Linked DNA regions of Arabidopsis thaliana. The protein of the gene in region 1 interacts with the protein of each later gene in a pairwise test. Each region holds a gene or a part of one and is shown on either strand. Other genes may lie near its edges. The genes, in order: SHOC1 and AT1G12790.

What was found.
Region 2: the proteins of SHOC1 (region 1) and AT1G12790 interact in a two-hybrid assay, tested with the Arabidopsis thaliana proteins (one study listed by BioGRID).

Annotation. Positions count from the first base shown.
Region 1 is NC_003076.8:21,230,513-21,238,371, reverse strand, and holds the start of SHOC1 (shortage in chiasmata 1), read left to right. Parts: upstream 1-1,817; coding exon 1,818-2,117; intron 2,118-2,378; coding exon 2,379-2,459; intron 2,460-2,549; coding exon 2,550-2,624; intron 2,625-2,745; coding exon 2,746-4,652; intron 4,653-4,963; coding exon 4,964-5,168; intron 5,169-5,492; coding exon 5,493-5,969; intron 5,970-6,197; coding exon 6,198-7,859. Other genes in the region: LTI65 (CAP160 protein), read right to left, coding at 1-147, 218-754, 846-1,016, 1,098-1,167. UniProt on the Arabidopsis thaliana protein: Essential for the formation of class I meiotic crossovers.
Region 2 is NC_003070.9:4,358,162-4,363,115, reverse strand, and holds AT1G12790 (DNA ligase-like protein), read left to right. Parts: upstream 1-1,744; 5' UTR 1,745-1,893; coding exon 1,894-1,963; intron 1,964-2,253; coding exon 2,254-2,381; intron 2,382-2,469; coding exon 2,470-2,558; intron 2,559-2,640; coding exon 2,641-2,736; intron 2,737-2,826; coding exon 2,827-2,921; intron 2,922-3,008; coding exon 3,009-3,049; intron 3,050-3,134; coding exon 3,135-3,218; intron 3,219-3,369; coding exon 3,370-3,519; 3' UTR 3,520-3,536; intron 3,537-3,613; 3' UTR 3,614-4,221; downstream 4,222-4,954. Other genes in the region: AT1G12800 (Nucleic acid-binding, OB-fold-like protein), read left to right, coding at 53-232, 346-432, 508-579, 667-759, 831-938, 1,102-1,170, 1,264-1,338.

The DNA.
Region 1 (7,859 bases):
TATCAGATTCCTTCTTCAGATCAAACTCATGGCTTCTCGTCGGAAAGTCTTCTTCGCGTCCTTGTCTTGATTTCTGATCAGGAGACTCATCAGTCACTTTCATTCTACCAAGAGACTCAGCAATCTCTGGTACTCCAGCTTCTCCACCTTAAACAGAACAGACAAGAGTTATTACAGATTCATAAACCCTAAAAAAAGTCTCGGCCAAAGTCATTACCTTTATGCGTGGGATCAGTAACTTTGGACTGATAATTAGATACACCACTGAGATAATCCGATCCTCCTCCTGGAGCAGCCGGATCTTCCTCCAAACGTTTTGGCGTCTCGACGTTGACTTTCCGTTGACCACCGAGATAGTCATCTTCACCACCAGGAGCAAACGTCCTAGTCACGTCCTCTGTTGCTGAAAGCAGAGACACAGGAGTGTTCAATGGCTCTTGATGAGCCTCTCTGCTCTCTCCTCTGTCTGAAAATTCTGACACTCCGAGAGGATAATGAGTCGGTGCCTCTCTTTTCGCTTCCCAGTCCGATGTTTCCGTCGTTCTTACAGGATCAGCCAGTGCCTCATGTCCGTAAGAGGTATCTTGTAATGATACAGGCTCAATGGGTTTGGTGTGGTCAGAAGACACGACAGGAAAAACTTTTGTCCCTGGAGGAACAATCTCCTCCGATGCCGGAACATTAGTTTCTCCGGCATGACTAAGAGACTTAGGTTTACCCGTTACACCACCTCTCACGGCAGAGGATTCATACACTGTGCATACACATAAAAAAACAGAAAAACCGTTAATACACAAAAAAATATAACTGCTGATTGACGAGGACTTTAATACAGAGAAATTAACCTGGTGCGCCGTGAACTTCTGGGTCTTGCTCGTCATACTCATCATCATCATCTTCCACATCGTGATCATGACCATTTCCATGTTTAGTGAGACTGTTCTTGATTTTCTTAGCCTTTTCTTTTACTTTCTTCAACACTTTGGATGCTCCCTTCTCATGATGCTCTTCTTCTTCTGTATCCGAATCACAATAAATAAGGCAAATTAAGAGAAAAGTTCTCAAATTAGAATCTTCTGTCATAGATATATATATACCTGGATGGTGAATTCTGATTGGTTCTTCTGCTTGCTCATGACCATAAGGACGTGTCAACTGTGACTCCATTTTCCAAAGCTGTGTTTTCTCTTTTTCAAGTGAATCAATCAAACCCTCTTTGTTCTAGTGTTGTTTTCTTTCTTTTCGTGTCTCTGAGAAAATCAGAACAAAGTTCCATAAAGTTTATAGAGAGAACGATGACATATGGCCGAACCACCTCTCTCTGGCTTCTGTCTCTTTACTTCTGTAGGATTCTGACACGTACGATGCGTCCGTTTCGTCCTGCCACGTCTCAGCCAGTTGCTCTCTACGTGGCTATGCGACATTATCTTTTATCCGATCTTTAGAGAAGCCTATCGATGTATCTTCTATTATTTAGTTTTAGTCGGTCCACGTTTATTGGCCCATCATGTAGTTATTTGGCAAATGCACTGTGTGTTGTTTAAATATAACAAAACGGCAAAAGAAAAAATCAATTCAGCTATCAACTGTGTGCTGTTTTGAACATTTAAAACGGCATAACGTACTCAATTAAAATTAAAAGACGACAAGTGGCGAGAGTTGCTTTGGTATCTCCATCTCCCTCTTGAAATCGACGGGGGATATTTTTTAATTTCTTAAAAATTCAAAACCGCCAATTTCAAAATTCGTTCTCTTCTTCATCATCATCATCATCACTGATACAGTCTGAGCTCCCAAGACGGATCTAGAAAATTACGATGCGAACTCGATTTCTCAACATCGATTACTTCTCTACTCCACCTTCTCACGTATTTGAAACCCTAGGCTTCCTCAATCTTCCGGCTCCTGATAATTTCCCGGCACCCATCGTCTACAACGGAGAAGAAGACCGTCTCCGATTTGGCTCGATCGAAAATGTTAGTATCCCTATCGGAAATTTGCCTATTGAAGCTGCTTTGTCGAAGTTCCTTTCCGACGTGGTTCCCGACCGCGTCAGTGTGGACTATCGAGTTTTTGAAATCGACGACTCTTCGCTCGGAGTTTATTACTCAGACGAGGTAAAGTTCCTTCGATCTAGATATTATCAGTTCCTGGAGGTGAAATTTCGAATTTCCTGAGTCTCGCTGACTGTTTCTGTCAACGGTCCTTTGTTTCTTATAGTGAGATTGGTTGTAGATTTTTCGAAATTTGTGGTGTGTTTTCTCAGTTTCCATTTCTGATTGTTGCTTAGATCTTATATTCATACTTGGGTTGGAAATTTTGGTAGCTTAAGCGAATCTTACCGGAGTTTGAAAACCGAAGTTATGATCTATTTGCAGAAGGATGACGGAGATGCCATTGCGGATAAAGCTACACCTAAAATTATTGAGTTGGAGACTCCAGAGTTGGATTTTGAGATGGTATTGCTCAAGCTGTGTAAGCATTGTACTAATTGAACTAGTTCAGCTTTTTCTTTTTCATTGCGAGATAAAGCATCTTTTGATATACAGGAGAACAAGCTCTTATGCACGAGTGAGGATCATCTCCAATGTTTCTCTGAAGTTCTAGAGATCAAAAATGACCCGGTAAATCCCTGAGTTGATTTTAGTTGGCACACACAACAGTAGTTTTTGCTTTTGCTGTAGAGTGGTAGAGCTGGTTCCTGTTCTTGGCATCATCTGATTTTAGCTAGTCTTCTTATTGCAGGTTAAATATGAGGGGTCAGATATTATCCTGCAGAACTCAAAGGACATTCAAGAGCAGATTTATTCTGTTGATTACATTCCTTCTGATTACTTTACAGAGAACAACACTTCTGTAGCAGAAAATGAATGCTTCCGCAAGATTCAACCATGGTTCAAAGATGCCAGATTTCCCCTTCTAGAAGTGGATGAAGTAAACTTGAGCGAACTATCAAGCTTATCTGTGCTTGATAAAGTATTTACTGTTCTTGAGACGATTGAACCCCAAGACACTAATGCAGGGAGTTCTCTCATTATCAATTCTAAGGAGCTTATAGGCTCAAAGGATTATGATCTATTGGATGTACTCTCTACGGATTGCTATTTGAACAAGAGTGGCCAATCTGATGTGGTACCAGAGGATGAATTTTCTGAAATGGATATAGTGACTATCCTGGAAATATCAAATGCTGAGGAATTTCAGGGAAAGGTGGCTGTACCAGTAACTTATGAGGAATTCCAGATCCTGGATGTGGATATCTCTGATGTTTTTGATATCTTCCTTTGTCTTCAAAAAGCCATTGAACCAGAAATCTGTTACGGTATGTTCAGTAAAGAGATGAACTTCAAGGATTTCGATGAATTAGTTGTCAGTTCCGAACTTGCCTTCACAGATGATGCCTTCAAGTCTTTGCCTACTCCTATTTTACATGATTATGAGATGACAAGATCTCTGGAGCTCATTTATGAGGATGTTTTGTCAAAGATCAAGCCTCAATCCTTGTCTGCCTCAAATGACATATACTTGCCGTGGAACCTTCTTGAGGAAAGAAACCACAACCATTGTGATTATCCGTTTGAAGAAATAGTTACATTCAACATTGATTATAACTGGGAAGCTTCAGAAGGAGACAAATGGGTTTATGATTTCATTTTCTCTGAAGATGCTTTCTGCGAGCCACTTGTAGAGAAATGCACTGAACCTTTCTATGGTATATCTAACCTTGATGAGCATGCTCCTGTTAATACTTCGCATGGGTTATTGGAAAACCCTTTCCAAAAAACAGGAGCAAGGGATTGTGCAGTGGATGATAATGCTAAGAAGGCTACGCTGTTGTTCAAATCAATGTCTGCTTTTGATGACTTAACCTTTTTCATGGATCCGAAGAAGGCTGTGATTGAAGATAATCTCGAGTCTAGAGTCGAAGCTGCTAAGACTACCAACCATAAATGTATGTCTATTGACTCGAAGGCTTCATGTAGATCTGGTGGTATGCACCCAAACCCGAAGACAGAGGAAATGATACTTCACAGTGTGCGCCCTTCAGAAAATATTCAGGCTCTTGTTGGGGAATTTGTGAAGAGCTATTTAACTCTTGTGAAGGATGAATCAGAGAATTTATCAGAAGATAAACTTAAGTTACTCAGCATATCTAAAGGAAAGCTTATTGACTGCATAAGAAAGGCAAATGTCCACAAAACACAGTTGGCGGATGATAAGACTTTCACGTTTGCATTACTATTAGCAATTAAACAGATGACATGGTATATGTGTTTCTTCGGTATCCATGTGGCATATATCTATCTTAACAAGGTATGTCGAAGCTCAAATCCCATGAAGATAGGATTGCACACCCTCTACTCAGCAGTTGAAACAGAACACAAATCAGATGAGACAGACATCACAAGATCACATCCATCACTAGCTGTTATCCAGGGGATTTTACAGTCAGAATTTGCCCGGGGGAACTCCAAAGCATTACTTTTGGCTGAGAAAGTGTTTTGGTCCTCGCTGAAGAGGCTACTGATGTCCATGGGGTTATCTTACAATGACCTCAACAGTCCCTCCCCAAGTGGAAATCGACCAAATGTTCATGAAGCCATAGAACTTGGTTTCCTGCCGATTTCAGACTGTCTAATTATCTCTTACGAGTGAGTATTATTTCTTCCTATAGCCATATCCTCATTATCAATGATCATAGCTTTTCACAGTTGAATTTTTTGGGAACTAGAAAGGGAACCAAAGAATTGATATATTGCGGCCTGAAAAGCATTTTCAGTCTTTTAGCATGGTGATTGTAAGAGATACCACAAAATGTTGTTACTTCTCTGCTCGTGAAATTGCTGCATTATTGTTCTTTGCATGCTAAAACATAGCTTTATCGATTCTTTGTTCAATATCTTTTAGTGAAATTGTCTTTTGGGAGTAGTTAAGCTAACTAGTCCTTTCTTTTTCATCTAAGGCAAATTTCTCCATCTTTTCCTGTGGAGAATTTCAGCGTCATTGTAGAATATGGAGGTCCAAATGCCTCGCCCAGATATTCTTTTCCTTCAAAGTTGGATTCCTTTCCTTCCTTTCATTTCATAAAAGTGGAGCTGGATATGCCCAGTGCATGCGGGCAACTCTGTGCAGGTGTTACAGTACCTTATAGTCTCAAAATGATAAAGGTGAGAAACATTCAACCTTTTCTTACAAGTTATATTGGTAGATTGTATATTACGATGGAAGAGTCTGTGTGAAGGGTTCAAATTCAGAGCAGTAGATCAATCTGTATCACAAATAGTACTTTCATGAGCATATGATCTTGATTGGTTTTGCAACACTGAAAATTATGCAAGTTTAACATTAGTATGTACTTTAACCTAAAATTGTGTTGTCACATCAGTGGTATTCACGTTTATTCCATAACTGCATATTTTGAACGCTTTGTTTGAATATGTTCCAGAATATGCAGATACGAGAACCTATGTACACTATTATCTCTTTTGTAGGGAGACGAAGTTGAGACGAAAACTGGGTGGTTGGAAGAAGTGTTGAACTTTGTTCCACTTGAAAAAGTGTGTTATGCAGGATCTTCCGAAACCACAAATGAATCTGAATTTATCTCCATGCCTCAAGAATCTGAAAGAAAACGTGGGATAATTGAACAGGGTCTCTCTGACCAAAGATCTGTGATTGTTGTGAACACAAAAACTGTCGATAAGGAGATGATCATATCCAGAAGAAGTACATACCAGAAGGTGTTAGCAATGGAAAAAGAAGGAGTGCAAGTTGTGGAGCGCGATTCAGATCTACCTGTGGACCTGATGTTAAGTCCTGCAGTTTGCCTACTCTGGTATGATAGTGAAACTGTTAGTAAGAAGTCGGCTGCAACTATTGGTACTTCCTCAAGTTCACTTTCATGGATTGGAGATATCGCAACTAATGTTTTGACGTCATTGAGTTTCAGTTTCAGCACTTGCATTATGGTAAATTCCACCAAACTTTGCTTTTTGCCGTTCTTTTGTGGGAACGTTGCAGTATATATGTGGACCTTTCACTTTAAGAATCATCTTCTATTATTTTTGCTAATTTGATGATTACAAACTTACTAGATGTTTAATACTCACTCATATACTAAAGTCTCTGCAACATTTTCTTCTAAACTGTAGACTGAGTCCAGAGAACTTAAAGAACGATTGTTATTTTTCGTACAGGTTTTTGAGGGGGAACCCGCCTTCCTGGCTGCCGTAATGGACTCCTCTGATGAACTGTATGCAGCAGCTGGTAGCCTAGGAATCAGTTTACAGATGTTTTGCTCATCGTCAGCTAATCTCACGGATGAAATTATATTGAAGTGTATCAAATCTTCTGTTAAGTTGTCCAAACTCCATGTCAAAATGCCCGAGTCAGAATCTCTAGCAGAATCATTTCTCACCAAGTTTCCTTCCGTGAATCCACTCACAGCTCAAGTAATTCTGTCATCTTCTGGGTCACTTCTCGAATTCATGAAGCTCCCACATAAAAGCAAGGTTGAAAGGACGCAAAAGTATCATGTACCTGAAGAGAGTGTTGATCTATTCAGTTCAGTATGCAGATACGGAGCAAGGGAGGACTCCAGATCTGTAATGACAGACAGCTCTTCTTCGGTATCTTCTGGACCTGACTCAGACACACACCATGTCAGTGTCCATTCTGGCTCAAAAAAGAAACAGTACATTGCTGAGAAAGATGAGATAGATATGGACGACTTGGTGCATTTTTCTCCCTCGATAGAATTTGCTGATACACAGCTCAAGTCTTCTGGGGATTTCCAACTTGATGATTCTTGGTCATCGAAAGATCATGAGATCTTTCATTTTGACCCTGTCACTGAATTCTCAGATGCACCTTTCAAACCTTCTGGGATCAGTCATCCCAATGACTCTTGGCCGTCTAAAGATCCTGAGAGATTTGACAAGAAGTCAGGACCTGGTTCATCATCAAAGGACACATTTTGGGAGAAAGATCAGCCTGATTTTTCAGTGGAGGACAGTCTTCCTGGAATTCCTGAATTAGAAGATTGGAGTTTCCCAGTTAAAGACAAATTCATGAGCCAGAACAGAGGATGTAAATTTCCGGTGATGAGAGATTTTAACTTGCATGACAATAGGAACTCGGAGAATTTCATCGCAGACTACAAAGGTGAAGTAATTGACAGAGCTGATAAGTATCTCGAGGAAGACTTCCCGCCTTCTCCTGGTTATAATAGGTTTGCTCGAATAGTTTCTGATGTTAATGAAGAGGAACTTCCAAGAAAATCAAAATCTTCAAGGAAGTTATCTTTCTTTGGATCTCTCCAGCCTAACTTCCCAAAGGCGGCTGACATCGACTCGAGTTCTGAAAGATACGCCACTGAGAAAGATTCAAAATATGATAACAACACTTCTTTGCGTGGCTATGCTGATAACTATCCAGCAAAACGCCAAAGGACCCTTTTGGAGGAGGTCTTAACACGAAGATCTGCAGTTCCAACAACAGAGCTTCCATTTAGAGAAGAAATATCACATTTTGGTGGATCTCCACTATCAAACGCAATCCGTTCTTCAAATCAAGTACAAAGTTCTCCTTGGACGGTTGATTTCCTTAACAGAGTTCGAGAAAGAAGCAGAGCAAGGAAACAACAACAATCTCTTCCTTCTTATGCTTCTCCACCTAGTTTGGAGACTCCAGGGAACATAAAGAAAGCTAATACCAAGAGAAAGAGTCCATCCATACTCGAGTTTTTCAAGTATAAAGGAGGCAACAAACTTCAAGAAGAGAAGAGGCAGAAGCGGTCAAAGAATTCTTCAGCCTCACCAAAAAACGAGAGATTTTACTCGCCTCTTAAGTCATGCACA
Region 2 (4,954 bases), on another chromosome or scaffold:
CCATACATGGAAATGCTTGTTTTTCCTTTCTAAACAATTTAACTCAATGCAGAAAATCAAAGTGAATGTTGTTATGGCAAATCGAAATTCAAGGAAGCTTATATTTTCAATGAGGCCGAGAGAAAATGAAGAGGAAGTTGAGAAAAAACGAACTCTTATGGCTAAGCTTCGTGTTGGGGATGTTGTGAAATGCTGCATCAAGAAAATTACCTATTTTGGTATTTTCTGTGAGGTACTAACTACTAACTTACAGAAGTTAAAATATCTTTGAACCTTCTTGCTTTATTGACTGGCAAGAACGGAATCTAGAATGTTGTGTAAAACTAAAAAGTTGGGTTGAAACAGCTAGAAGGTGTCCCTGCATTGGTTCACCAGTCAGAAGTTTCATGGGATGCAACTTTAGACCCTGCTTCATATTTCAAGATTGGTCAGGTAATATCTCGAACTATCGTAAACACTGCTAAGGAATACAACTGTTTGACAAACCTTTCTTTTTGTTGTTATCAGATTGTGGAAGCGAAAGTGCACCAGCTAGATTTTGCTCTTGAACGTATCTTCTTGTCATTAAAAGAAATTACGGTGAGAAAGATCTCTCAAAAGTTTATCTTGTAGCAATTGGTAACTCATTTTGATATATACCTAGACCCGTTTGATGTCTTTATGCAGCCTGATCCTCTTACTGAAGCTTTAGAATCTGTAGTTGGTGGTGATAATGATCAGTTGGGGGGACGATTACAAGCAGCAGAGCTCGACGCTGAGGTATTAAAGACCTTCTGTGATTTTATGTGATGAAACCATTATTACAGGTTTCTGAAACCTTTCTTCTGCAGTGGCCTGACGTGGAATCTCTGATCAAAGAGCTGGAAATGGTTGAAGGAATCCAATCAGTCTCAAAAAGTCGTTTCTTCTTGAGTCCGGGTCTTGCTCCAACGTTTCAGGTACACAGTTTAATCACCTAAAATGTATATATCAAAACACGAAAACATCTAACAGACCGCTAAAGAGTTGAATACTGTTGCGGCTTCCTTAGCGAAAAAATGTGAACGTTTTATGTTTTGATCGGAAGCTAAGAGCTCTGGTTTGCTTTCTCTCTCTTTGTAGGTTTACATGGCTCCAATGTTTGAGAACCAATACAAACTGCTTGCTCGAGCTGGAAACAGAGTACAAGAGGTAAAAGAAAGAAAGAGAAAGATCTAACTTATAACATCTGTTTTATTTTAATCTTGGATGATTCAGTTTTTTTCCTTTACTGTTTATCTGCAGCTTATTGTTGAAGCATCCTTGAGCAAAGAAGAGATGAAATCTACAATCATGTCTTGCACCAACAGAGTAGAATGAGAATATTGAGGAAGGAAGGAATGAATGAATCCACTATTTTTTTGTATTCTTGAAAGTGGTATCATTCGAAGACTTATACCAAGTCTACAACATCAATACATGATTTCTAATGTAATACTTCCTGATCTTTTTAATATATGAAAACATTTTCCCAACAAAAGCAAGAATCTGGAAATATGTAGAATCACCTCTCCTGTGAGGAATGAAGTAGATTATAGGATTATATTACTTACAGGCTAACAAATTCTCTCTTATTGTTATGTCATGCATGGTTTAGGCTTGCACCCTATGATCCTGATATCCATAGGAAAGTAAGAAATTATAGTTTGAAAGACCATCAAGTGAATCTGATCAGTAGCATATCTTCGACCTCAAACGTAATGTGGAGCGTATGGAGAATTCAAAACCGGTTTATATATACTCATGAACCGGTTAGGAGAACCAAAGTCGGAGAGCGATGTGGGACGAAAACAATTAATTATTCAAATTTGATAATTATTCGTCATCCTCATCCGCCAAGATTTTCGAATTTCTATAACTCTAGGAGGTTCGTCAATGGCGACGGCGGGATCAAGCTACAGTGTCTCAACAGATCATCAAGTTTCGTCACCTCTCGTGAATCTAGGTAACCACTCTTCTCTGTTATCAAAATATCCGATCTACTCAATCGTTAGAGTCTAGGATTTGCAAAATTTTGGTGTCGATTTTATAGCTGTGATTCAAATCAAATCTAGGAAACTTGAATTCGACTCTGTATCTGCTCAATTTCTTATGTAGAAATGTCGATAAGTTCTCAAATTAGGCGATATGTGTTTTGATTTGATTACTGCGAAATTTGAATGATGAGTCTAATGTTTAGTAGATTCATGTTACTGAGAATCTGCGATTGGATTAATTTACGATAATCTCTGACAGGAAATGTTGCTGGTGTTTGTATAATGAGCAATGCATGGAAAGTTGAACAAGAACCTTCACTGATCAATTTCATATCTGCGTTTCTTAGCGCAAACTCTTTCCGCCTTAACTTTGTCTCTATCCCCCCTGTATGTGCCTTCTTTCTCTGTTTAGATTCTTTTGGAGAATTGGATTATCTAAAATTTAGCTTAAAGAATTCACTTTATGCTGTGATAGGATCTCATCTTCAATTGTGGAGGTGTTTCTATTGCTTTTGTTTTTGTGACTAAATGGGATTTTTCCAATGTTGCTTCCATCTTCAGCAGGTCTATATAATAAAGTTTCAAGCTCTCTCTCTATCGCAAACTCCTATATGTCTTCTGATTTCTTTGACTTAAACTTTTTTAGAGTAAAGAGGCTGAAAGGGCAATTTGCGCAACTTTATGTTGTTGCTACACTTTCAACTAAAGAGCAGAGTGATTCTTTTATGCGATCTTACTTCCAGTGAGTGGTCTTCTACTCTTCTTTTTTCACTTTGCATCATTTTGCTTATCTGTGTTGTCGGAAATGAAGCTCGATAAATCTTTTTCGTAGATATGAGATGGAGTTTGGGAAACCTGCGTTTGTACAAGTCACTGATGCTGAGATGGGATTTGAGAAGATTGTTAAGATTGCTCACTCTCGTGGAGGTATAAGATTCATTTGTTTTGTGTTAGTTAATATACTCTACGGTTTTTTTAGTGATTGACTGATAAGATTTGAAACTTGAGCTTCAGTGTGCAAGCAACAGAAGGTGGCCTCTAAGCTCAAGGTTGAGGTAGGTTCTCATTTGTTATAATGATCTGTCTCAACATTTGTTTTTGACAATCTCTAAAGCTTCTTTCGTTTTCTTTCATGTGAAGAGAAAGCGAACTGTGCAGGATACAAACATCTTCATCAGATTTGTCACATCCATACCCAATATTAACAAACATGATGCGAACACGGTAATGTTTACTTATGAGCAGGTTCAAGTGGTAAACTTGCACTTTTGATACTATTAAAATACAATTCCAACTTCAAACTTCAAACCTTATTGTGAATCATGTCACTGCACCATGAATTCTACTTGCTTGCTTATGTTCTCATCGGTTACAGCTGTACCAGGCTATTGGTTCAATTGAAGCAATCGCTAAAGCATCCAAAGAAGACATTTTAGCAAACACAGATCTCTCTTCTAAAAAGGCTGATACACTCACCAGGTTTTTCCAAGATCCTGAGTTCTACCTCAGTCCCAAATTCAACTGACGACTGCAGAAATAGTTGTAAGATACTAAGATCACAATTCTTATAAAATCCGTAACGTCGTAAGACTTATCTATCTTATTCTTGGCCGTAACAGTTTCTAAAGGTACCACTCAAAGACTTTTCGTAGTCCTTTGCTATGGCTACAAGACTACAATACATACACCTATAGGAGCCAGTACCGGGTAAGTAAAATGGCTCACTTTTTTATCTTTGCTAGCTCTGTCTGAATACTAGTACTTTTATTACATCCGTTCCTGTTAAAGTGTTTAGCATCTGAACTTTAATCAATAAAGATCGGTACCAAGACTTTTTTTGATGTTTGCAGTAACACCAAACTGCATCGTGAAAACGTTTGGTAGATTGATTGATAAGTTTGAGGGTTAAGCACAATAAATGACCACACTTGTTTTTCTTTTGGTTGATAGTTACGGGTTTTTGGGTTTCTTTGATCTTAAGCAAAAATGACAAGCTAACAAAACCCATGTGAAATGGCTTTGCATTTATAAATTCTTGTATTCTTACTTATGTTATCCGGATTTAAAAATCATCTACATCACACATTATCTTAAGTAAAAGATTTTACCCGCAATTTGTGACAAATCGAAGAATTTGCCATTTCTACTTGCAAATTGATGCAAAATTCATGTTATGAATATATTTCAAAATTTATCTACATAAAGACATATTTTGTTATAAAAAAAAACATACGAAACATATATTCCTTCTCAAAACAAAATCCTATTAGCTAACTCTAGTACCAAAACATTTCAACATTTACCCAAATTGGATACCTAAATAAAGTTGTAGATACACGTCATCAATTTGATCATAACGTTATCGGTAGGTCTCTGCTGTCTCTGTCACAATCTTAGGTATCGTTAAAAGATAAATATTAAGTGGACAACTTTAACGAAAAAACACAAAAAAGTTGATTGGACAACGTTACTATCCAGTTTTTAGCGTGTTATCCAACCCATAGAAAATTTATCTCTCTGTATTCCCATAATCCTCGTAGATTTTGGTCATCACTAGTCATTTATTTACAAAAATAGGTTAAAAATGTCATTGCGTAAAAAAAAAAGAAGACTTAATCTTACATTATTTCCCTTTTAATTATTAAAATCCGCCGAGAAAAGTTTCACCATCAATGCGTAACTGAAAATCGACGAATCAAAGCTATAATACACTTAAACGGATCATCATCATCATCATCGTTGTCATGATCATCACTGCCGTATTTATAGAAACCAACAAAAACATGAAAGAGCCCACTCATTTTTCCTATTTTTCGCTTTGCGTGCCTTCTTATCAACTTGTAAACAAAGCTACAAATATCTTTAAATAAGGACCCAACTCTTTTTCAATTCCTCCCATCAATCTTCTTCATTTGTTCTTCTGTTGGTGGTGGTGATCTAGTTTTCAAAGAATCGATTTT